Astyanax mexicanus: one gene and its partner. The protein of the gene in region 2 interacts with the protein of the main gene of each other region in a biochemical or structural test. Links are inferred from orthologs where the notes say so. Each region holds a gene or a part of one and is shown on either strand. Other genes may lie near its edges. The genes, in order: rnf146 and tnksb.

Region 1 (11,697 bases), on a different chromosome or scaffold from region 2:
CTTCTGGATGCCTCTCTCACAGCAGCACATGTAAAAGTCATGAGACAGGCTCATGCTCTGAGATGAGACACAGCTAGACCAGGCCGGAAAACACACACATACACACACACACACACACACACACACACACACACACACACACTTTTTGGGCTGTGATTCTAAACCTCACATCATTAAACACTAAGAGAAGTAAATGTCAGCTGGCTGAAGGGTTCTTACTGCTGCACCTGATGGCAGAACATTGGAGCACAGCCCTGTTAGATAAAGACAAAGAGAATCACAGAGAAAAGAGAACAAAAAGAAAGAACAAAGCAAAACTGAAGAAGTGTGGGTTTGAGTAATTCTAATTTCAAACACACTGAAGGGGGAAAAACTCCACAAAGAAGGATTTCTCAGAAAACTGGAGAACTTCCACCCAATCCACCAGCAGAAGCATCACTTCACACTCTTAAAATAAAGGCTACAAAATGTTTCCTCAGATCAGGGCCACAGAAAAGTCACAGCAGTCTGCCTTTACAAATATTCAATGAATGTTTCTTTAAAGAAACATGTCAACTAAACAAGATGTGAGAGTTTAAAAAACCTCTAAATAAAAGGATTTGTAATAACTGCCTGAGAAACAGAGTGTTAGGAATCTTAAAGGTTTAAAGAAATTTTCTGAACAATCTTAAAATTAAAGCAGCCAGCAAGGGTTCTTTGTGTAATGCTGGAGTAGAACCACTTTTTAACCTAAAATTAATTCATCTTAAAATGTTCTTTAAAAGAAGCACTTTTGTACAGGATGAGTGTAATTGTGAAGCTTGTGTTCATGAGAAATTGGCATGTAAATTTAAGATTTGCGAAAGTGTGAAAATGGTTCCACTTTGGCTCATCACTCAGAGAACTAGAGTCTATTTTACAATGTAGGATTTGTAGCCATGTTTTACCATTCCAGATTAGACAGGTTTGGACTATAAACTAAAGACAAAACCTCTGGCTAAACTGAGAAATCCTGCTTTGTTAATTACTCCCCCGTTCTTAGTGAAATTTCCACCAGCATCAATGTGTTCCCAAGCTCTTAATACCAAATTCCTTATTTAGACCAGTGGTCTGCAACCCTGGAGATCTGACTTCATGCATAATTCTGCTTCGACCTAGATCCTTCCACCAGACCCACCTTATCAATTATTGCCTTTGCAAATGCTTGATCAGCTGAATAAGGTGTGCTTAACTTGAAAGAAGAAGAAGAAGGTGAAGCATGCATAAAGGTAGATCTCCAGGAGGAGCATTTGATAACCACTGTTCTAGAGAAGTCTGCATTCCTCACAACTCCTTAAGTCCTTAAATATCCGTCCCCAGTCTGTGCCACTGTGAAACTCCTTAAATGTGATTTATTATGTTGAAATTTTTTTGCTTTTCGGACATTTGTTAGCAGTACCCTGGCAGATGGGCGTTTAGGTGGCCAGTGCGTCACGATGGCAACAGTAAAAGCGCTGGCAGCTGGTGGGGGTCACACTTCTGTTACCGTGCACTGACCATCGGGGCTGCGTGAGCGAACACTTCCGTCACCACCAACTCCACCACCAGGGGGCAGTCTGTCCAGCTGCTGCAGTCTATGCCTGCCCTGAGCCCCATCCGCCCGCTCGCCGCCACCTTCCTCACCGGCGCGGTCATCATCGTCATCAACATCCTCACTTGTGCCTGACTCTGACTCGTATCCTGAAGCATCAGGAGCCACCGAATCGTCTTCTTCATCCTCATCATCGTCCTCCTCCTCATCAGGCCCAGGGTGGCCTATATTGAGCTGAGCCAATGCCTGGACAAGAGACAAGGGGGTTGAGGCTGCAGGGCTGCTCGGGTGACCCCCCAGTATGGTAGGTGGCCGGACAGGAGGCGGGGCAAATCCCACCTGAGGGCGCCCCGCACTGGCCACCGTGTCTGCCCCATCTGCTGAACTCTCTCTCTCTGGCACACTTCCGTCCATATTGCTCAACGAATCCCCGCTTGCTGTAACACTGACACCTGGTGACCCAGCTGATGCAGATCCAGGTCCTGATCCTGATCCGCTTGCCACTCCAGATGTAGTTCCAGGCTCAGGATCCAGCCTCAGTCCAGCCACCCCTTTCTTAGGGATGTCCACCACGTCTCTCTTCATCCTCCTCCGACGGCCATGCTCGTTCCTCCTGTACTGCACCATGTTCTCTAGATCTGCCACATACAGGAAGCCAGCGATCAGCATCTCTGCGCTCTTCTTGCCCTTGTTGTGGGCATCCTCCAGCTCCCGGCTGGTGCGCTCATCGTACTGCCACCAACCGTTGCGCCCTTCGTAGTACCACGCATGGTCCCCGGCTCCCATCCCCCGGCTGCCGGACGCAGAGGCCTTCAGCTCCTCAGGCGACAGCAGCGTAGGCCGCTCCAGGAAGTCCTCGGGCACTTCCTGCCTGCAGAGGGCGCAGCGCTTGCTGTGCCATGAGGCGCCCTTCACGCACAGGAAGCAGAACACGTGGCGGCAGGGCAGGCGCACCGGGTGGACACAGCTCTGCAGGCAGATGGCACACTCCAGGACTGGCAGTGCAGGTGGAGATGGGGAGGGGCTTCCATTGCTGCTGGTCACAGAGTCTCCGCCCACCTTCTTACCTGAGGCCAGTGCATCCACGGAGTGATCGACTTCACCACAGCTAGCCATTCTGAAAAAGGAGAGAGAGAAAAAAATAAATTGAAAAATGAATTCCACAATGCGTAAGACATGGAGACACACACAGGTCAGTTAACCCTTGGTTACCTAATGTAGTGCAAGAGTACCAATTCTACACTGTTTTAAAATGAAATAAAATTAATAATGAATTGAAACATGAACAAATGTTTTGGAACATTTTATATGCTGTTCAGAATGTGTTAAATTTGTTGCAACATGTACAAAAATGTGTACAGCATAAAATGATCCAAATTTAACTGGAAATTAAACACAACATACTGCAACAAGTGACAATAAAAATATTGCCCACACCAACCACAAAAACTAATTGTCAAATATCTATGTCACAATGTTTGTTAATATAGGAGAATGATAAAGAATTTACCAGAAACTAATATTTTAAAACGTCTAAAATGACTAGGCTGCACAAACAGTCCTCACAGAACCTCCTTTAGTCTAGTTTCACTAAAACAGAAGCTGTTTGTGTCTTTTGTTCATTGTCTCTGGCTCTCTGGCTGCCATTACACAACAGTCTAATGCTGTCCTCCTCTAACGTTCTGACCTAAATAATCTACTAAATAGGGAAAAAAAGAAATTTAATGAAAAATCTTTATATTATATTATATTTATTTTATCTAGAGAGCATCTAAAATGTTAAGGCAGAAATAAAATAGAAAAATCAACAGAAAAATAAAATAAATGTACTCCCTCAGTTAAACAATTCTGCCCCTCAACCTAACAACTAGTTTTGAGGAAAATCTAGGTCACATAACAGTATTCAGTACACTTTGTATTTTGAACAGATTACATTATCATGTGATTTAAATGATAAAATACATGTAGATCATAAGCTTAATATGATCTGCTGTCACATTCATCTTTCCATAAAACCTGTTTGTATGTTTGGTAGCGTTGTAAGGGTAAGCCATACAAACAATTTCGTTTTACCCCTTTTACCTTCAAATTTAACTCAAGACTGGGTGTTTAAACACCAGCTAACATTAAACCTTTTATTTATCTATTTTAACACTGAATAAGTAGAGACAGATTAAACTTTCACTGAAAACAGATGCTCCTTTCTGAACAGATAAAAAAAAATTACATATCAGCTTAATTGTATTTATTTGGAATATTGAGCATTTTTGTATTTCAAATTTAAAGTTCAATGCTCTTAAAAAGGTGTAAATACATTTTCCTACTTACTGATACATTTTGTTATCAGTAAACCAATGGCACAGAACGGTCTAAAATTACAACTAAATAATTATTACAATGAATTCTTGGACAGTAGGGCTGGAACTAATAATTGTTTTGTCTGTCGACTAATCTGCCAATTGTTTTTTCGATTAGACAACTGGTCAACGATTGTTTCTGCCATGCACTCCTTCTCTGTTTGTTGTGGGTACGTCTCTTGTTTCTAGCTTTCTCTATCCCTACAAAACAATAGAAACAGATGAACATGAGCTCAGGTGCTGCTATTTAGTGAAGAAATATGTATTCTGTTGTAATTGGGCACTTTTGGAGACGCAGGCCCAGGTGAGTGTAAACTGTGCGAGTGAGACCAATACCATTCTCCCATTTGTGTAGTACTACCAATTAACTATTTAAGTCAACAATGAATATTTAGAGTCGACATATTTTTATAACCGACATTTTTTATTATATCGACTAACCGTTGCAGCCCTATTGGACAGTACATCGTACACAATAAATAGTTATCGTTACAGGCCTAGGGTCAATTTTAAAGACACAAAATCAAGCCTGATGGCATTTGGAAGAGCTTAAAACTGACCTGGGAGCTGGTCATCTGTGTACAACCCGAAACTCTACATAGACTGCGGCTCAAATACGGTGACAGCTGATGGCAACACAGCGATAAAATGGCCAAAACAAACAAAGCCTCCTTCAGCGGCGCTGACCCTGATCTGCTTCAGAATTACAGCTAATTGCAGGCATTTAAACTGAGCACTAATAAGAAACAGAGACTAAAATGGCTTTAATTTGAGTAAAAATAGCGAATAAATGAATATATAAGCTGCTCTTTATGGCCGCGGCTGTTTTAATGTCTTACTGAACATCTGTTCTGGGAGCAGCGCTGAGAAGCTAAAGCGCTAAAGCTAACAAACACAGCTGTTGCTAACTGGGTTAGCTAACTAGGTTAGCTAGCTGTAAGCGGAGGCCGCGGCTCTCTGCTAATGGTAACTTTAGCCGACCTACGGCCGTGACACATCCCGGTCTAAACCCCGAACATTCCCGAAAAGCCAGATAACCGGGTTTTTGTCCGGATAAAAGCCGCTGTCCGTGATTTAGTCTCTGTGGGAATGTTGCCGTTAGCCTGCCGCTCGCTAGCCGCCGAGCTAAACCTCCTCCACAGAGCTCGGTAGCCCGCCGCTAGCCTAGCCGAGCTATAACACCCCCGACCGCCCGGCTCACCTGTATAAACCCAGCTCGCGCCCTTCGCTTAGGAAAGATCCGGACTCGCTCAGCTGCCCCCGGCCCGGCGGCTCATCCTGGTTCCGCTCAGACCCGCGCGCTGTCCGTTAACCGAGGAGCTCGAGCTCAAACCGAACACAGCACTGACAACTGCGCCTTAGAGCGGATCAGCACTGCGCAGGGAAGTGCGCAGCAGCGGCGGCGCTGCAAGTGGATGATATTGGTTAAACGGGGCGTCACGCGCTGAAAGGGGCTTTATAGCGCAGCGCACAGTGACTCACTGACAGGCACGAACACCTGATCCGGAGGCGTAATAATAACATTGCTACTGAACAGAACACAATAACAACACATCACAATATAGAAACAGTATAAATACTGAACAGAACACAATAACAACACATCACAATATAAATACAATATAAATACTGAACAGAACACAATAACAACACATTACAATATAAATACAATATAAATACTGAACAGAACACAATAAAAACACATTACAATACAAATACAATATAAATACTGAACAGAACACAATAACAACACATCACAATATAGAAACAATATAAATACTGAACAGAACACAATAACAACACATTACAATACAAATACAATATAAATACTAAACAGAACACAATAACATCACAACACAATATGAATACAATATAAATACAAAACAGATACAATAACAACACATCACAATATAAATACAATATAAATACTGAATAGAACACAATAACAACACATCACAAGATAAATACAATATAAATACTGAACAGAACACAATAACAACACATCACAAGATAAATACAATATAAATACTGAATAGAACACAATAACAATGCATACAATATAAATACAATCTAAATACCGAACAGAACACAATAACAACACATCACCATACAAATTATTAGCTGAATAACATTGCATACAATATAAATACCGAACAGAACACAATAACAACAAATACAATATAAATACAATATAAATACTGAACAGAACATGATAACAACACATCACAATACAAAATATAACCTGAATAACATTACATACAATATACGTACTGAACAGAACACAATAAGAACACATACAATATAAACACTAAACAGAACACAATAACAACACCTCATAATAGAAAATATAACCTGAATAACATTACATACAGTATGAATACTGAACAGAACAACATATCACAATATACATACAATAAACATGCTGAACAGAACACAATAATAACACATCACAATACAAAATATAACCTGAATAACATTACATACAGTACAAATACTGAACAGAACATAATAACAACACTTCACCATACAAAATATAACCTAAATAACATTACATACAATATAAATACTGAACAGAACACAATAACATAACATCACATCACAATATGAATACAATATAATACAGAATAGAATAGAATAGAAAAGAATATGACCCAAATAGAATAACATTACAGAAAAGACACACATTGAATACAATAACAACACAATGCAATCGAATATGATTTGAATAGAATTACCTACAAGATGAACACAAAACAGAATATTATAATGCATCTGAATAGGTAATACTGAATAGAATAGAATAGAATAGAATAAAATATGACCTGAACATTACAAAGAATATTAATATTGAACAGAATATTATAAGATATCTGAATCAATACAAAATAAAATAGAACTGAATAAAATATGCCCTGAATTTGAGTCACGCACTGTCCAAAGGAAGTTTGTATAAATGATGTAATGTAATAACAAAAGTTTGGGAGAAGGACCACGCCCAAACTCTACATTCTAACTCCACCCTGTATCAATCAGCCGCCCTATAAATACCTGCCCTGACTAACTACCTCTCGTGACGAAAGTTCGCAACCCACCTCCTCCCCAACAACCCCCTTCTTCTACTCTATCACTTCCTATTAAATTAAAAAAGGTGGGGATATAACTGCACGCTTCTTCAGCACGCAGTTCAGAACTCCAGCCCAAAACTCCCAGAGTTCCCTCCCCTTCTTCTTTCTTTTCTCTACTTCAATTAGGCATGGTCCGCACTTAGCAAAGTGAGTGTTTAGACCTGATTTAACAACCGAGATAGAGGTAGCTCGGTGAATAGCAGGCAGCAGACTTTTTTTCCAAAGTCTTGAAGCATACACCAAAAATACACAATCACCTTTGCGTTTCAGAAGAACCCTAGACACGGCCAACACATTCAGTAATGATGATTTCAGAGAGTGCAGTGAGACTGTGGAGGTGAGCAAATCTGCAATAAAGGAAGGTTTCTTTAAAGACAACTAAAAGCACTTTAAACTGTATTCTATATTGGACTAGTAGCCAGTGAAGTGAGGAGAGGACTGGTTATATACACTCTCAAAAACAGAGGTACGATATGAGTACTTTTTTGTACTCGAAGGTACACTCTTTATAATTGTACCCTCAAAGGTACAATATTGGTCTTTACGGGGTCAGATTTGTTCCCTCTGAAGTACAAAGTCATTTCTAACAGCAATAAGTACAAATTTGTACCATTTAACCAGCCAAAGGGTACATTCAGTATTCTGTACCACTGTACTAATGAACAATATATATTTAAATTGCACATTTTTTATTTGAAAGCCAGACAATTTTGTATCATCAAGTTTTTGAGCCATATTTAGTTGATGATAATGTTTATAATCTTTATGATCTTTACTGCCACAAAAAACATGGGTACAAAAAAGGACTTTCACTGAAAGGTACTTTTTTGTGCCTCAATATAAGGTACAGCCCCAGCGACAAGCTTTGTACTCTTTTAAGTACAAATCTGTACTTATATTTCTTAGAGTGTATGTTTTCTTTTCATGTGTATGCAGCATTCTGAACTAACTGTAAGTGATGCAGAAGAGACTGGTTAATCCCTATGTATAAAGAATTAAAGTAGTCTACTGGTGAAGAGATGAAAGCATGAATAACTTTCTCAAGGTCAGAAAAATGGAGAAAAGGCTTCCGTTTTGCAATGTTTCTGAGCTGGAAGAAACTACGTTTTAATACAGAGTTAATTTGTTTATCAAATCTGAGGTCTGTGTCAAAAACAACACCCAGATTTCTCACTGAAGACCTAACGTATGATGACCAAGGTTATTAGAAACATTGTTACAGAAATGGGGAGTACCAAAAAGAATCAGCCCTGTTTTGCTTTCATTCAGATGAAGAAAATAACAGCCATCCACTTCTTGATGTCCTCAAGACAATTCTTGAGTGACATAAATGAGTCATTGCCATTGGGTCTAATAGGAAGATACAGCTCTAAGTAATCAGCATAAAAATGAAAGTTGACATTGTGCTTCCTAATATTTTGACCTACATGTATAGTAAAAACAGGATGAGCCCTTGTAAGGACCCTTGTGGAACACCACACCTCACATCAAGGTGTGGAATAGCAGTAGCTCATACACCCAGTAGCCCCACCCACTCTTTTATCTGACCAGTAAGTATATTGATCATATGATCAACTGTGTCAAAAGCAGAGCTTAGATTCAATAACATAAGGATGGTGCTATTTCCTGAACTGACAGTTAGTAAGAGGTCATTTGTCATCTTAAGGAGCGCATATTCAGTGCTGTGCATAGCCTTAAAAGCCATAGACTGTGTATAGCTGGACAGAGCATCGTCTCTCAAAAGTGAAGCTGTGTAACCCCACCCATCCTCATAGGTTTCAATGGCAAAACAGACAACTTTCAATCACGTTTTTTTCCAATATACTGTAATTCTACCTCCTTTATATAAATGCAGCAGCTAGTGTAACCTCTGCTTATATTGTCAAAGTTTTTATATCCCCACAGAACTTGTTTTTAAAAACGTTATTCAGCTCTATTCTAAAAGGTGTGGTTATTGTAAAAGGGCCGGGGGTGGACCAATGACTGTATGGGTGGAACCATAGACTGTGTATAGCTCTGAGGAGGCAGCCCTCAGGGGCAGGTTTATTTAAATGAGTAGGCTGTCTCTCCACAGTCTTTCTCCCTCCTCTGGTCTCTACTGCTCAGACTCGGGTTTCAGGATCCCCAAAATAGCGGAAAAATTTGGCTTAATTTTTATTGAATGAATGGGAACGGGGACGCGGCGTCAGGGCCGCTGCTAAGGTTTTGGAGGCCCTAAGCATAACTGGTCAGGGAGGCCCCCCACCCCCCCCAAAAAAAAAAAACACACACACACACAAACACAAAAGGTTTACGCAAAATTTTACTATTTATTAAAATTACACATGTAACTGTGAATATTTACAACGTTATAAGTAAGGCCAATAACAGTGAAGAACAGCACAAGAGTACTATTTATAATGCATAAATAATAAATTAAACGATGCATGTCTATTTTAAGCAGTGGACACGTCATTTACACAAGCCAGCCTTAAAGGTTATGAAATTATCGTTTATATTCGTGGTGTATTTATATCAGCCTGTCAAAATCTATAGAGCTGTCTGATCCTGCTGTCATACAGACCATTTGGATAGTGCACTGACGGCATTAGTCAATAGGTAGGCTACTCTGTTTATTATTTTTTTATTAAAGTCACTAAAAATCTTCAAACTACACTACTACTATTTGCAAACGTGCCACGTGCCTTGCAATACCCAGATTAGTTTCTAGTTAAGCGTTTAAAGCTACCAAATCAGCAAAGCCAACATAACTAGCTCAGGCAACACCACTGAACATGAAGTAATCAAAACTATTTAAACCTTTATCATCGAAGTTACTCACCAGAAAGGGATGCATGGGCCTCATCTTTCTGCTTCTTTTTCTTCTTCTCAGCTCCAGACTCAAACCGTCGCTTCATAGTTGAATTACCATTTAGTAGCAACTTCGCGCGGTGAACTTGTCTCCTGCCAAACTCAAGTAGCGTTGCTACTTTAGTTAGGACTAAGGTTGCCAGATAAGTTACGATTTTTCATCCTATTTGTTTATTGTTTTTAACTTACACAAATATTGCACTGGACAAGTTTTTGTATAGAATGGCCACATACACTTTAAAAATGGTTAAACATGCGCAAGATTTAGCGCCTCCATGCATTTTTTGATTATTTATTTGACTGGAAAATGTCACATCTGGCAACAACCAACAGAGCAAACCGAGCCGTGCCATTTCAGGCAATAGGGGTGGGGGCATTATATTATGCACAAAAATAATAACGTGCCGCTTTTAAGTAGTAGAGTAGGTGCCCCATGCAATGTTTAAAGACAAAAAAGATGAGCGTATCATAAATAATTCACATTGGGTTTTAAATTTAATAATGTCATAATTTCAACACATTTCATTCTCAGTCAATTTGGCTCCCTGCAACTGCAAAATGGTTGAGGCCTAACGCTGGCTGCGTTGTCTGCGTATGCAGAGCGGCGGCCCTGCGCGGCGTCCATCTTTTTTACAGTCTCTGTTAAAACCAGACTGAAAAGTCTCAAAAACACTGTTGTAGATTAAAAACGGTAGCTTAGAATAAAACAGAATACAATATCATATGATCTGACAGGGTAAAACCTTTCCTGAATAGATTTGATTATATTAGACTAGAATGTCATATGATCTGAATAGATTATTTAATTACTGATTATACCACAGTTAGTTCCGACCCTGCAATATGATTGGCTGAGTGATTGGTGTTTTGTGAGTGCCATTATTAGCTGGTAATGCACTGTAACTAAAGCTCTCCATGTATTATTCCGCCACACACAGGTAACCTAGCAATGATGCAGCGCTTACAAACCAAACAGTGCAGCTACAAACAGAGCAGCAATGGAACTATTTAAACTCACTGAGTTTTTATAACCAAACAGATCGTATTTTTTTTCCTCCCCTTTAACTTAAAATCTTTTAATAAACAGCTATAACAGAACTGTGGTATGATCGCAATAATACACTCAAGGTTTGTGCTATAACATATAATCTATGGCCGCAACACTGCATTGCCAATATTGCATGTTATAGCACTCCCTTTCGTGTATTATTGCTATAATATATAATAGAATGTGAACTAAATGGAGTAAATAGAATAGAACAGAACAGATTAACATATCATCTAATAGGGTAATACTGTTTCTAAATAGATTAGATTATAATTGAACAAAATGTCATTTGATCTGAATGAGTAATACTGTTACTGAGTTAAAAAAAAAAACAAATTCCAAAAGAGTTGGGACACTTTTTACATGTAAAGAACTTTAAATTAAAAACAGAATGCAGTGATTTGCATAGACCCATATTTTATTCACAAAAGAAAATAGAACACATATGAGATGTTGAACGTGAGACATTTTTCCATTTAATGAAAAACATAATCTTATTTAGAACATGACAGCAACGCATCTCAAAAAGTTAAGACAGGGCCATGCTTTTTAAATAGTTTCATATTTGGAGATGCAATTTAAGCAAATTGGAGAATCTCTGCCCATCTGTGAGAGACTCTTCTGAGAGTCCCTTTCTCTCTAAAATGTTCTTTTTATATCCTGTCATGTGAAGTAGTAGAGCAAATTGCTCCTTCAGCTATTTTTTTAATAAGTACAATTTAGTTTTTATCCTTTAGTTGGAAATCTGCCATCAAGTTCTAAAGTTAG
Region 2 (11,811 bases):
CAATGTAAGGTATTTTGTATTCAGACTTCAGAAAAAAGTTTCTTATTGTTAGGTTTCAGACAAAAAAATATATATGATCGAATTATAGTGCATCACAGGATATAATGCAGTGTGTGAGTGTGTGTGTGAAGTGTGTGCAGGTGTGTATGAGCTACCTTGCGTCCATCGCTGGCGTGACAGTTGACATTGAGTGGAGTCAGCAGAGCCATCAGCTTATCCTCATTCCCACTCCTGAAAGAACACACACACACACACACACAAACACACATTTATACATATATATTTATTTACATTAGGTCATGCTGTAGATTCACTGGGCTCATTGAGTGCTTGTTAGTCCAGTAGGACGTGTTTGATGATCAGTCAATTTGAGGTATAATTGCTGCACATAAGCTTCCATTACTTTTAGTAGGGGCAGGGGTGGGACAAAATATTGCAAAATATCATATAATTTTCGTTTGTGATACATTATCAATACTCCCTAAGCCACGCCCCCTCCCCCCTAAAGTGCAGCATTATACAGGAGTTTCAGTGAAGTTTCTCCAGCACTAAGGCTGGGGCAGTGTTCAGTGTTAGCATTAGCCGCTTATTACAGCACTTGATTTTTTGCCATTCAGAGGTGAGTATAAAACGAGGTACGTGGGGCAAACTGCTAGCTGATAGCTTAATGTACATAAACGGAAGCGCTTTACTCACCCAAACAATCAGTTTTCTGTGTAGATTACTGTGCGACACCCATGTTCCTTACTATTGTCACTTAAAATGCACCTTATAATCCGGTGTGCCTTATGTATGAAAATAGACCAATAGGCGTTCATTGATAGTGTGCACTATAATATGTTGCACTGAGGAGTATTTTATCCTCTTTAGCAACACAGATGCTGTGAAGTATCGTAGAGAATTGTCTTGTGATCACAGTATTGTGATATCGTCACTATAGTGATACCTAGCATTAGCATCGTAGCTCCAGTGTAAATCTGAAGGAGCTGTAAAGATACGGAGGTAATGGGTATCCTCCTCATTCTGTTGTAGCACACTCCCTTAGCAACGGAGGGAGGGGTGGGTGTGGGGGGGTGTGGCTGCTGACACACACACACACATACACACACACACACACTCACCTCGCTGCCTCCAGCAGCTCGTCCTTCTTATATTCCCCTGTGGACAGAAGAACACACTGATCAGAACAGTGGGGGGTTACATAACAAAGGCACTACTCAGTGAGGTGTGTGTGTGTGTGTACCGGTGAGGACGGTCTTGGCGGAGGGGTCTGCGAGATCCAGAGCTGATTTGCCGTCTGTGTTTCTGATGTTGGGATCCGCACCGTGCTGGAGCAGCACTGAAAGCACATGCATAGAATATAGATTTTTAAATTAAATATACACAGATATACACATTTTCCAATATGTTCTGCATTTCCAGCTTCTGATGTAGGAAAAAAAACACTTTTACAATTTACAATAATCACAAAAAATTAAAGATTAGATTCTGTATGTTTTATTAAATTCACATATCGCACTAATTAATCTGATTGCATATATTTTGAGTCAATATCCACAATTCAGAATTCTGTGCATTAGAAAATGAGGAGTGTTTTGTAAGCTATGGTTGCAAATGTCTTAATTACACTGTAATAATGAGTGGTTATTTATTACAGTTTATTATTTTTTATTTACTCCTAAGTTCAATTTACTGTTCTGTATATATTGTATAGGCTATGTATCAGTATTTGCTCATTTTAAGCTAAAATACACAATCAATCAATATTTCCCTAACGTAGTATATCCTTAAAGCTGTTAAGGTTCACTGCAGTTTACAGGAAGCTGCAGTTCCTTGTTCCACCCCTACACAGCCAGAGCACTGCTGCATCCACTCAGGCTCGGCTCTTTCATTTTAATTTGCAGAATGTGTAAAAGTAGAGCGTCTCATAAAGGCAAGAGAATAAACAGTTTAACCCCACTAACATATACCCCTCCGCAGAGTGCTTCACTCAGCCCATACAGTGAGTAGCTATTAGCACAGCAATTCAACAGAGCTAACAAACACCACTAACCACACAAACCAGCAAACACTGCTGCAGACCAAACTGAACCTCCACCACCACCCAGTGCACACAGCTTCTCTACTTATATACACAGTTATATATGTATTCACCATCACTCAACTCAACTGAGGAGAAACTAGCGATTTCATGATTCAATGAATCGAAATCGAACTGAATTCTTATGAGACCTGACATTAACACCATTACTACACGCACACTACACACACACACACGATTAAACACACTCAGGCAAGAGTGAACCTGACTATAGCCACTCTCTCTCTCACACACACACATCCCAGTGATGCTGTCACTTTCTATCACACACACTCAGCATGCTGCCTCAGCAGTGTGTAAGCACAGAGGCATTCAGCACGAGTCTGAAACACACACACGATGCTTCTGTGTGTGTGTGTGTTTACCGCTAAGGTTTCCCATCGTTACTGTTACTGATGAGGGATCATCCCTCTCCACAGTGCATCAACAGCACCACTCTGTATATAACAGTGGTGTGTGTGTGTGTATGTGTGTATATACCGCTCTGAAAAAATAAGGGACCACTTGATGATGTTTTTCCTTCATTTTACCAAATTGAAAACCTGAACTGCTTGAATTTTTGCACCAGGAGTAAAGCAGCATAAAGATATCCAAGAGCAGTGTGTAAGACTGGTGGAGGAGAACATGATGCCAAGATGCATGAAAAAAACTGTGATTAAAAACCAGGGTTATTCCACCAAATACTGATTATTTCTGAACTCTTAAAACTGAATATGAACTTGTTTTCTTTGCATTATTTGAGGTCTGAAAGTTCTGCATCTGTTTTGTTATTTCAGTTATTTCTCATTTTCTGTAAATAAATGCTCTAAATGTGAATATTTTTATTTGCAAATATTTCTTGATACATTGCCTAATCCTAGACAGCCCATAGATTTGACTCTATAGAATAATTTGACCTTTAATGACCATTTCTGAGACATGCTAAGAGAACGTGGAAACCCGCAGATATTGAGGGCGGATCTCCTCTTTAATATGATGTAATTTAAATATCAGATACAGATGCGTGACGGTGCTGATCTGCTCACCGATGCAGACGTCGATCTTGCCCTTGATGGCGGCCTCGTGCAGAGGCGTGTAGTTCCAGTTGTCGCGGGCGTTGGGATCCGCCCCCTGGCACAGCAGCAGGCTGACCACCTCGGCGTGCCCGAAGGAGCAGGCGTTATGGAGCGGGATCAGCCCACCGTCATCCCGGGAGTGAACGTTAGCTCCAGTCTGCAGGAGATGCTCCACCACGTCCTTCCTGCCAAAACCTGCAGAGACCAAACAACAGAACCACATCAAAACCCGACCCTGCAGAACCAAACACACCCAGAACACCAGCAGAACCTCTCTGAGGCTGAAGCAGCAGCACTGACTGTAATATACGATCACACGCCCAGAACCGTTCCAGCAGATCCGCATCACAGCTGATCCAGGTCTATTTTAAAGAATCAGGCGTCGGCTATATTAATCCCTCCACTGCCAATCCGTTTATTTACACTGCTGTCAGAGACACTCCATAAACACACTTTATACCAGACTGCAGATATTAGGAACGGATCTACTAAAGAACTTCAATGCAGAAGGTTCTGTACGCATCTTTTAATCAATAACAGATGTTCCACAATCACAGCATTTTATTAATATTTGTTGTTTGCTAATGACAGCACAAGATATATACTATAATTTTGACCAATTACAGCTATTCACCAATCTTAACATGTGATCAATAATCATAATAGCTATTTTCCTATCAACTGCTCATTACCAATAATGACATTTAGTGCCTGTTTACCTTTTTCTGCTTTTAAATCAAATGGGTTTTGACCATTAGTTCCAATGGTCAAAACAAAAGCGTTTCCTCATCGGCTTACCAATCACAACCTTTGATTGAGGCATAATGTTCATAAATTACATCATCTGATCAAGAATGTTAGAAGATTTTTAGACATAGACATCACGTAATTAAAGATGATCAATGTATCAATCAAAGTAATTAAAGCCTCATGCTGTATTACTTATTGATGACGGCTGTTTATTTTCACCAAGAGCAGCATCTTATCAAAATTGGATGTTTGCTAATGACAGCCTAGATCAATAATTAGTGTTTACAAATAACATTTAAAATAAAAATGGGCTTACTATAATTTTTATTAATTAACTCATCAGTTAATAATCATAATATCTGTTTTCCAATTATGCTTTACTGAATTGCTGGTTACCAATAATAACATTTAGTAAATAATACCTCTTTACCCCTCACTGCATTTAATCAATAGATTTTGATCAATAGTTTAAATTTCCCAAATAGTTGATGCTTGCAAAATGTATCATTTGATTAAAAATAATAATACTAACAAGATTAATAATTTTAGATTTAGACATGTTTACCAATCACTTAAAGATGATCAATGTATTAATCAAAGTATTCAAAGCCTTATGCTGTACTACTTGAGTTAGGGTTAATTGATCACAACAGTCTATTACACAAATCAATAACCATATAATATCTGCTACCAATCAAACCCGTTGATCAATAATAACTGTTCATGCAATTTTTATCAATCATCACAGCATCCGCTCGTACAATTCACTGACCAATCACACTGTTCGATCAGTTATATCTGTGCATATATATATATATATATATATATATATATATATATATATATACACATACACACACACACACACTGCTCGCTGCTCGCCTATTACAGCTCCTGGGGGTTATTAGCTGTTTAGCTAGGCTAGGCTAGGCTAGTTAGCTCTTGGCTAATCTACTTCGTGACCATTATCGTTTATTCGGCATGTTTAGAGGTTAAATCTGTACCACATCTCGCCTTTTAACATTGTTATTGATCGCAATGCAGCTATTGATAACCCATAGATGTGTATTAATCGGTTAAATTAAAGTTAAATTCCGATAAAACGCTAACGTAGGCTTCGTTTGGGAATTCTCCGTTCCACCTTAACTAGTACAGCTGTTCCGTTCTGCTGCCTGTGGGAACATAATGTAACTGCAGCAGAATTTAAGGTGGAACGGAGAATTCCAACAGAAGCTGGAAAACAACCCGAAGCCCAGCAGCGCAGTGATTCCACAGATTCCCCGACCGACCTGCGGCGAAGTGCAGCGGGGTGGACTTCCTCCCCGCCATGTCCTTCGCGTTCACGTTCGCCGCGTCCACCAACCGCTTCACCCGGGACACGTCCCCGTTCCTGCAGGCCTCGAACAGCTCCCGGAAGGCGCCGCTGTCCTGGCCCGGGCTGGGGGCCGCTGAGGACGGGCTGGCGCTGCCTGCGGCCCCGCTGGCCGAGCTGCAGGCTCCGCTGCTGCCCGGCCGCTCCGGAGAGGCCTCCGCGGGGCTCAGCGCGGCCGTGTCCGCCTGAGGAGAGTCCAGGGGCGGCGAGGAGACGGCGGAGAGCCGCGGGGGGGACTGGAGCCCGCCGCCGTGGTGCTGAGACGAGCGCCGGGACACCGCCATTACACCCAGCCGTTACATACAAAACCCCGTACAGTCTCCCTCACACTATACCCAGATACACACACACACACACACACTCTGTCAACAACACAGCAACACACACACTTCCGCTCAGGGAGAGGCGGGCTTCCGCCGAGAGTCTCTGCACGATCAGCTGATACAGATATTACCATAAAACAGCAGAATAACACAGCTAAAACAGCACAGGCTGAATTACACAGCAAAGCTAAAAAAGTACAATCTGATTTACTCAGCAAAGCTAAAACAGCTGCACAGTCTGAATAACACAGCAAAGCTAAAACAGCACAATCTGATTTACACAACACAGTTAAAACAGCACAATCTGATTTACACAACACAGCTAAAACAGCACAGTCTTATTTACACCTCACAGCTAAAACAGTACAGTCAGATTTGCACAGCTAAAACAGCAGTACAGTCTGAATTACGCAGCACAGCTAAAACAGCAGCACAGCCTGATTAACACAGCACAGCTAAACAGTACAATCTGATTAACACAGCACAGTTAAAACAGCACAGCTAAAACAGCAGAGTCCGATTTCCTCAGTACTATATCTGTGCTCAGTACTAAAAGTGCTGTTTTAACTGTGTTGTGTTAATCAGACTGCTCTGTTTTAGCTGTGCTGTGTATGTTACACTGTGCTGATTCACCAGTCTAATTTAGTGAAGTAATGTTTTACTGTCATTTTTTTTGTGATATTCTGCTAATTGTACAAATATATTCACCTTGCAATATCAATACCTTGAATTCATTTTGATTCCCAAATTCCCAGATTTGGATTTGTATAATTGCAGATTTTTATATAAAAATCAATAAATCATCAATAAATTACATAATAAAAGCAGAAGTTATGACTTCAGTTTTCAGTTAGATTTCGGTTTAATGAAGAAGCATTGATATTAACAGCATGCTAACAGAGTCTAAGACAGTACAGCCTCTTTACACACTGAAATCTGATACTGAATTACAGTGTAGTTAAATACTCAGCAGTATTGTAATTCAGTAATTGGGTACAGCAGCAGTATTGGATTTCAAGACCCGGCGCTGGTCCGTGTTTGTGACCCAGAGTTTCAGAACTCTACAGGTCTGTCAGAACCAGTTAGTTTCTGCTGATGTTTGCTAATGGTGAGAGGGATGGAAGTGAACAATAGTGCCCTGTGTTGCCATGGAGACAACAACAAACAGCCGGCTGGCCCCGGATCAGCAGCAGCACGCGACCCACGGGACCCTTAGTAGTGCTGCTGCAGCACAGCAATGCTGGACCTGGACCAGAATCCACACTGCTGGGGGGACTGGGACTGAACTGGGCCTGTGTTTACTGGGCTGCTGGAATGCAGGTGCAGAATGCCCACCTCCTCTGGAGCTGCTGGGAGGATGAGCACTGGGAACAGGAGCCAGGGCTCTTATCTGAAGATGTGAGTATCTGTAGATAAACTCATGTGTTTACTGGGTTTAGATCTGTGTGTCAATTATATACAGGCCCCAGATCTGCTGCTGTTTATTCTATTATCTATAATCAGAAAATACATTTATAGTGAATACAGTCTGAAAATGAAATGAAGCTCTAACTCTACATTCCTAAAAACAATTTAGTTCAGAAATGCTGCTGTTCAAAGTCTTATTCATGAAGAATTATTTAAGAAATAAAGATAAACAGTCATTCACAAATGAGCTAACAATGTGGATTAGAATATTAGATATATAATATATTAATCAGCAGGATTATTTTAACAAGCAAAACATTATTACCAGAATCTGACGGATTAGAACTTGTTGGATAAGCATAATCATTAAAAATGGATTATCTGAAATGTCTAGACTAGTAAAATATACAGCTCTGGAATAAAAATAAGAGCCCACATAAAAAAGATGAGTTTCTTTGATTTTACCAAATTAAAAAACTTTAAACCAAGCTGTTTGAATTTTTGCACCAGGAGTGGCATAACATTATCCAAAAGCAGTGTGTAAGACTGGTGGAGAAGAACATGCCAAGATGAAAACTGTGTTATTTTAAAAAACAGGGTTATTTCACCAAATGTTGATTTCTAAACTCCTAAATATTTATCAATATGAACTTGTTTTCTTTTTATTTTTGCATTATTTGAGGTCTGAAAGCTCTGCATCTTGGTAACCTTGGAATTTGGGAGAACTGTTGTCTGTAGTTTATATAATAAAACAACAATGTTCATTTTACTCAAACATAAACCTATAAATAACAAAATCAGTGCTCTCTTAATTTTTTCAGAGCTGTATATATTAGTTACCGGTATATGGATTAATTTAAAGCAGCATTATGTTTGAACTGCCATTTCTAGCTCCTGGGCTCCCCCTACAGTCAGATAGCGGAATTTCAGAATTTGCTCTGCACACACATTTCTGGACAAGCTGAAATAAGGGTGAACTGTATTATTGTATTGCATCATTAATAGTTGTGTCAACAGAATACAAAATATACTTTTCTGAACATATCCTGGATATCATCTTTATTTAAAGAACACTGACCTGCTGCACATTTTATTACAGAAGCTGTAATAAATCCTGTTTAATTAGACTAAGGTAAAGTGTGTAGGTTGTGATGATGTGTGTGTTGTTTTCTGCAGGTATTTTGGAACTCTCTCTGTGGAGAAGAGGACGCTGCTGGAGAAAGCTTTAGAGGTGCAGATCTTCCTCCATCTGCTGGAAGAATCAGAACAAATGGCAGCTTTATAATGAACCAGATGGATGTGTGAGGTTTACTGTGTGTGTTCTGCTCCACAGGCTGAATGTAGATCTGCTGCAGCTGGAGGTAAAGAAGACGTTCGCTCTGAGGGTCAGCAGGGTGAGTTATACTGATCACTGTGAGGTCAGAGGTTACCTCAGGCACATGGTCAAATGATGAGGTTGTTTTTGCTGCTTTTTGCAATAAAGCAAATGGTTATTTATAAAAGAGGGAAAATCAGGCTTCTGAAAAGCTGCTGTGACACGGTTTTGTAATTGTTTTTACAGATAAACTTAAAATATTAAACGTCTTAGCATGTAAACAACTGTTTATAGTATTAAACTGAAGACCCCCTCTTTAGTTATTCAGCCAAGGCATGTTATGCACTAAATCTAATGATGCTCATTGCTATCTTACACCCCACCAACAGTCTATTTTCACTCCTTCCTTCTGCCTGGTTTAAACAGCAGCAGAGCTTCTGAATATATCTACACTGACGGGCGTGGTGTTCTGGAACTTTACAGCCAAAATTAACCACATCCATGATTAATTAAGAGAACCAGTGCGTACTTTTCCCATCGTTACGATAGCAAAGACACACTGACACACCCTAAATAAAGCTGCACGGTGCACAGTTTTTAGCATTGTCATCAGTTAGCACCCTAGGTTAGCATTATACAGTAGTTTGTGTATCCAAACAGCATGGAATAATGTGCACAGATAGAAGTTGTAGAGAATCTTGTTGTCTAAAATCATGTAAGTTCATGTATATAATTTATTTAAAGTTTGAAACAGACAGTAAGAAGCATGTTGATTATATATCTTGTTAGCTACACTGCACTGTCTGACCTTTTGAGTTATACATTTGTACGAGCAATGTGTGTGTGTGTGTGTGTGTGTGTTCAGGTGTGCAGAAGGATAAGTTCAGTAATGATGAAGAAGGAGTAAACGACGGACAGCTGGAACATCCACCCTCCAAAAAGTCATCCACGTGCACTGTACTGTAGTGCACACGCACACACACACACTCACACACACCTACCTCTCAGGTGGATACCTGGACATAATGGAGTTGATGATGTTAAGGTGTGGTGTTGGAGATGGCATGTGCCGTATATCCTAACACTGATCTTCTTCAGTATTCTAACTCTGTATTTATAAACTGCTTTCTGTTTGTAAGCTAACGTCTAAATAAACAGATAAATGGGTAAAATAAATAATATTTTTATTAATATATAAAGAGTTATGATACTTTTTATAGTTTCTTTTTTATCTTCTGATCTCTAGGTATAATTAGACTTTTATTTTTTATTTCAGTGTCTTTAAGACTAATAAATGTAAATAACCTCTGATTGTTCTGATTGGCTACTTATTGCATTGTGCCTCATTTACCATAAAATTAGCTGCATTCCATTTACCTCAGGATTTGGATGTTGGAGCTGGGAATCAGGTCTTTTACACTAACTAGTTTTAATCGTTAACATTTTCAATAATTTTCTAATTATTTACTAGGTCATTATTTTCAGCATTATCTCAGGTTAGTATTATTAGCAGTGTTAGCAGTTGCAGTGGATAATAATGAATTACTGTATACAGTATTTAAGAGCTTGCAAGTAAACTTCTGTGGACTGGAGATGTGTTGGCAGGCTCAATATATATATAAATATATTCATACAAAACTTAAATTTTTCTCTCTCTGTTACACATAAAACCCACCAGAGTAAGTTAGTGTTCTCCTCCAAGCGTGTTGAGGTGCAGTGGTAGTGTTTTAGAAGCAGCAGCAGTTTGAGGAGATGTAGTGCAGTGCTAGTAGCACAAAAATCAGATTAAAATATATATAAAATACTGTTTACACACAACTCTTCCACTCTTAAGCTTCCATTTCACATAATGATAAACTTTTCCGTTTACAGTGTGTTAAAGATTCTCTGCAGTACAGTTTAAACACTGCAGCTCCAGCTCTGAACACTAGAGGGCGCTGTTGTTGTGGTTTTGATTTGGTGCTGCAGTATGAGGTGTTCTCTGTAGTGTATTTACTTTAAATATACTTTATACTGATGAGAAATAAAAATGAATATATGAAAAGTAATAAAGCTACTGAACTTTCTGATACAAATAGCTTCTGCCCTGTGTGTCTTTTTCTCTTGGAGGAAGTAAACGAGACAAATGGTGCCATAAAACACACAAAAACACACAAAAACACACACAGGCTAATAAACACACACATATACACACACTCATAAACACACACAGGCTGTGTGTTTTACCCTGACCTGCTGAGAACCCTTTGACACCCACAAAACATTATTTATTTTAAAGTGAAATTCCACCAAATGTTGAAAATTCTCTGTATTATTCAGTGTGTAAAATTATTATTAAAACTGTAGTTTTAATGTCAAATAATTATACTTTATAGTAGAAATATAGATATTTTATTTACTTTTCAAACCCACCACTGATTCTGAGTTTATATGGTATAATAATGATGGCGATGAAGATGATATGGTGGGACATCTAAACTAATGCACATTTTCTTTGGTTACTTTTTTAAGCCAAAAATTTAGACCCAAAGTCTTTTCAAAATGTTTAATAGAATTTGACACCAAATCACTCCTAAAGAGTTACCATTAACAATTTATAATGCAAAAATTAAAATGTTTAAAATGTGTGTACTTCCCGTTCAACACACACATGTACACAAGCTTGTATTAATAATAGTCTTTTATTATTTTCTATTTTTTTGTGATTAAAGCATTTTACTTGCATATTTGCAAATTATATGGTTATTTTTCAATAAAAATCTTTTATTTTATTAGCGACAGTCTGTAAGTTTTGTGGATTAGGGGATTTGGAGCCCTCTCTGGTGAGAGTGTGTAATTGCAGAGAGCACGCTGAAGAGTTCTTTTAATGCAGGTTAATGTAAATAAATTACTGTGTGAAAGTCTTTGTTTTTGAGTATAATATTGTTCTGATCATTTTATTTATTTATGAAATACTGACATAATGCTTTCTGCATATATAGCAATAACATCCAGCAAACCTACCAGACCACTCTGTTTATATATATGAAAAATAAGTATCTCCAAAACAGCAACTTTATAGGAGAGAGAAAAAACTCTCAAAACTAATTAAGGTAATTTTGAAGAGTTTCTATTGGTCCGTTCATTAAGAAATTTGGGCACAGTGTAAGGGACAGTTTGTATAGTAAACTAAAAATGGTCAAAAATGGAGATGCTTGTTTTTCATTGCACAGTGATGATTTTTACCAGACTTCTATTGTAGACTGAACTGAAGGAAGGGAGGGGTTTATTTGTCTGAAATTCCTTTATTGAGGAAAAATAATCATCACATATCTGCATTTGGCACCATCTAAAAACATTTTCTGTCATCAAAAAAAAATAAATCAGTGCAACCTTTTCACTTTCTCCCACATCAGAACATCACCAGCTTTAGCAATTAGCAAAACGAAGAGCAGGACAGAGTGATTTCCACGTAAACAATAATATATTATTATTATATTCCATTAGAG

The links.
Region 1: the proteins of tnksb (region 2) and rnf146 form a complex in vitro, tested with the Homo sapiens proteins (3 studies listed by BioGRID and IntAct, with this or other methods). The link is inferred for Astyanax mexicanus from reciprocal best matches to the Homo sapiens genes TNKS and RNF146.

What each region holds. Positions count from the first base shown.
Region 1 is NC_064420.1:22,197,484-22,209,180, reverse strand, and holds the start of rnf146 (E3 ubiquitin-protein ligase rnf146), read right to left. Parts: upstream 5,311-11,697; 5' UTR 5,108-5,310; intron 2,667-5,107; 5' UTR 2,666-2,666; coding exon 1,490-2,665; 3' UTR 1-1,489. UniProt on the Homo sapiens protein: E3 ubiquitin-protein ligase that specifically binds poly-ADP-ribosylated (PARsylated) proteins and mediates their ubiquitination and subsequent degradation. May regulate many important biological processes, such as cell survival and DNA damage response.
Region 2 is NC_064429.1:11,654,874-11,666,684, forward strand, and holds the start of tnksb (tankyrase, TRF1-interacting ankyrin-related ADP-ribose polymerase b), read right to left. Parts: upstream 5,650-11,811; 5' UTR 5,563-5,649; coding exon 5,196-5,562; intron 3,352-5,195; coding exon 3,127-3,351; intron 1,340-3,126; coding exon 1,244-1,339; intron 1,159-1,243; coding exon 1,122-1,158; intron 232-1,121; coding exon 156-231; intron 1-155.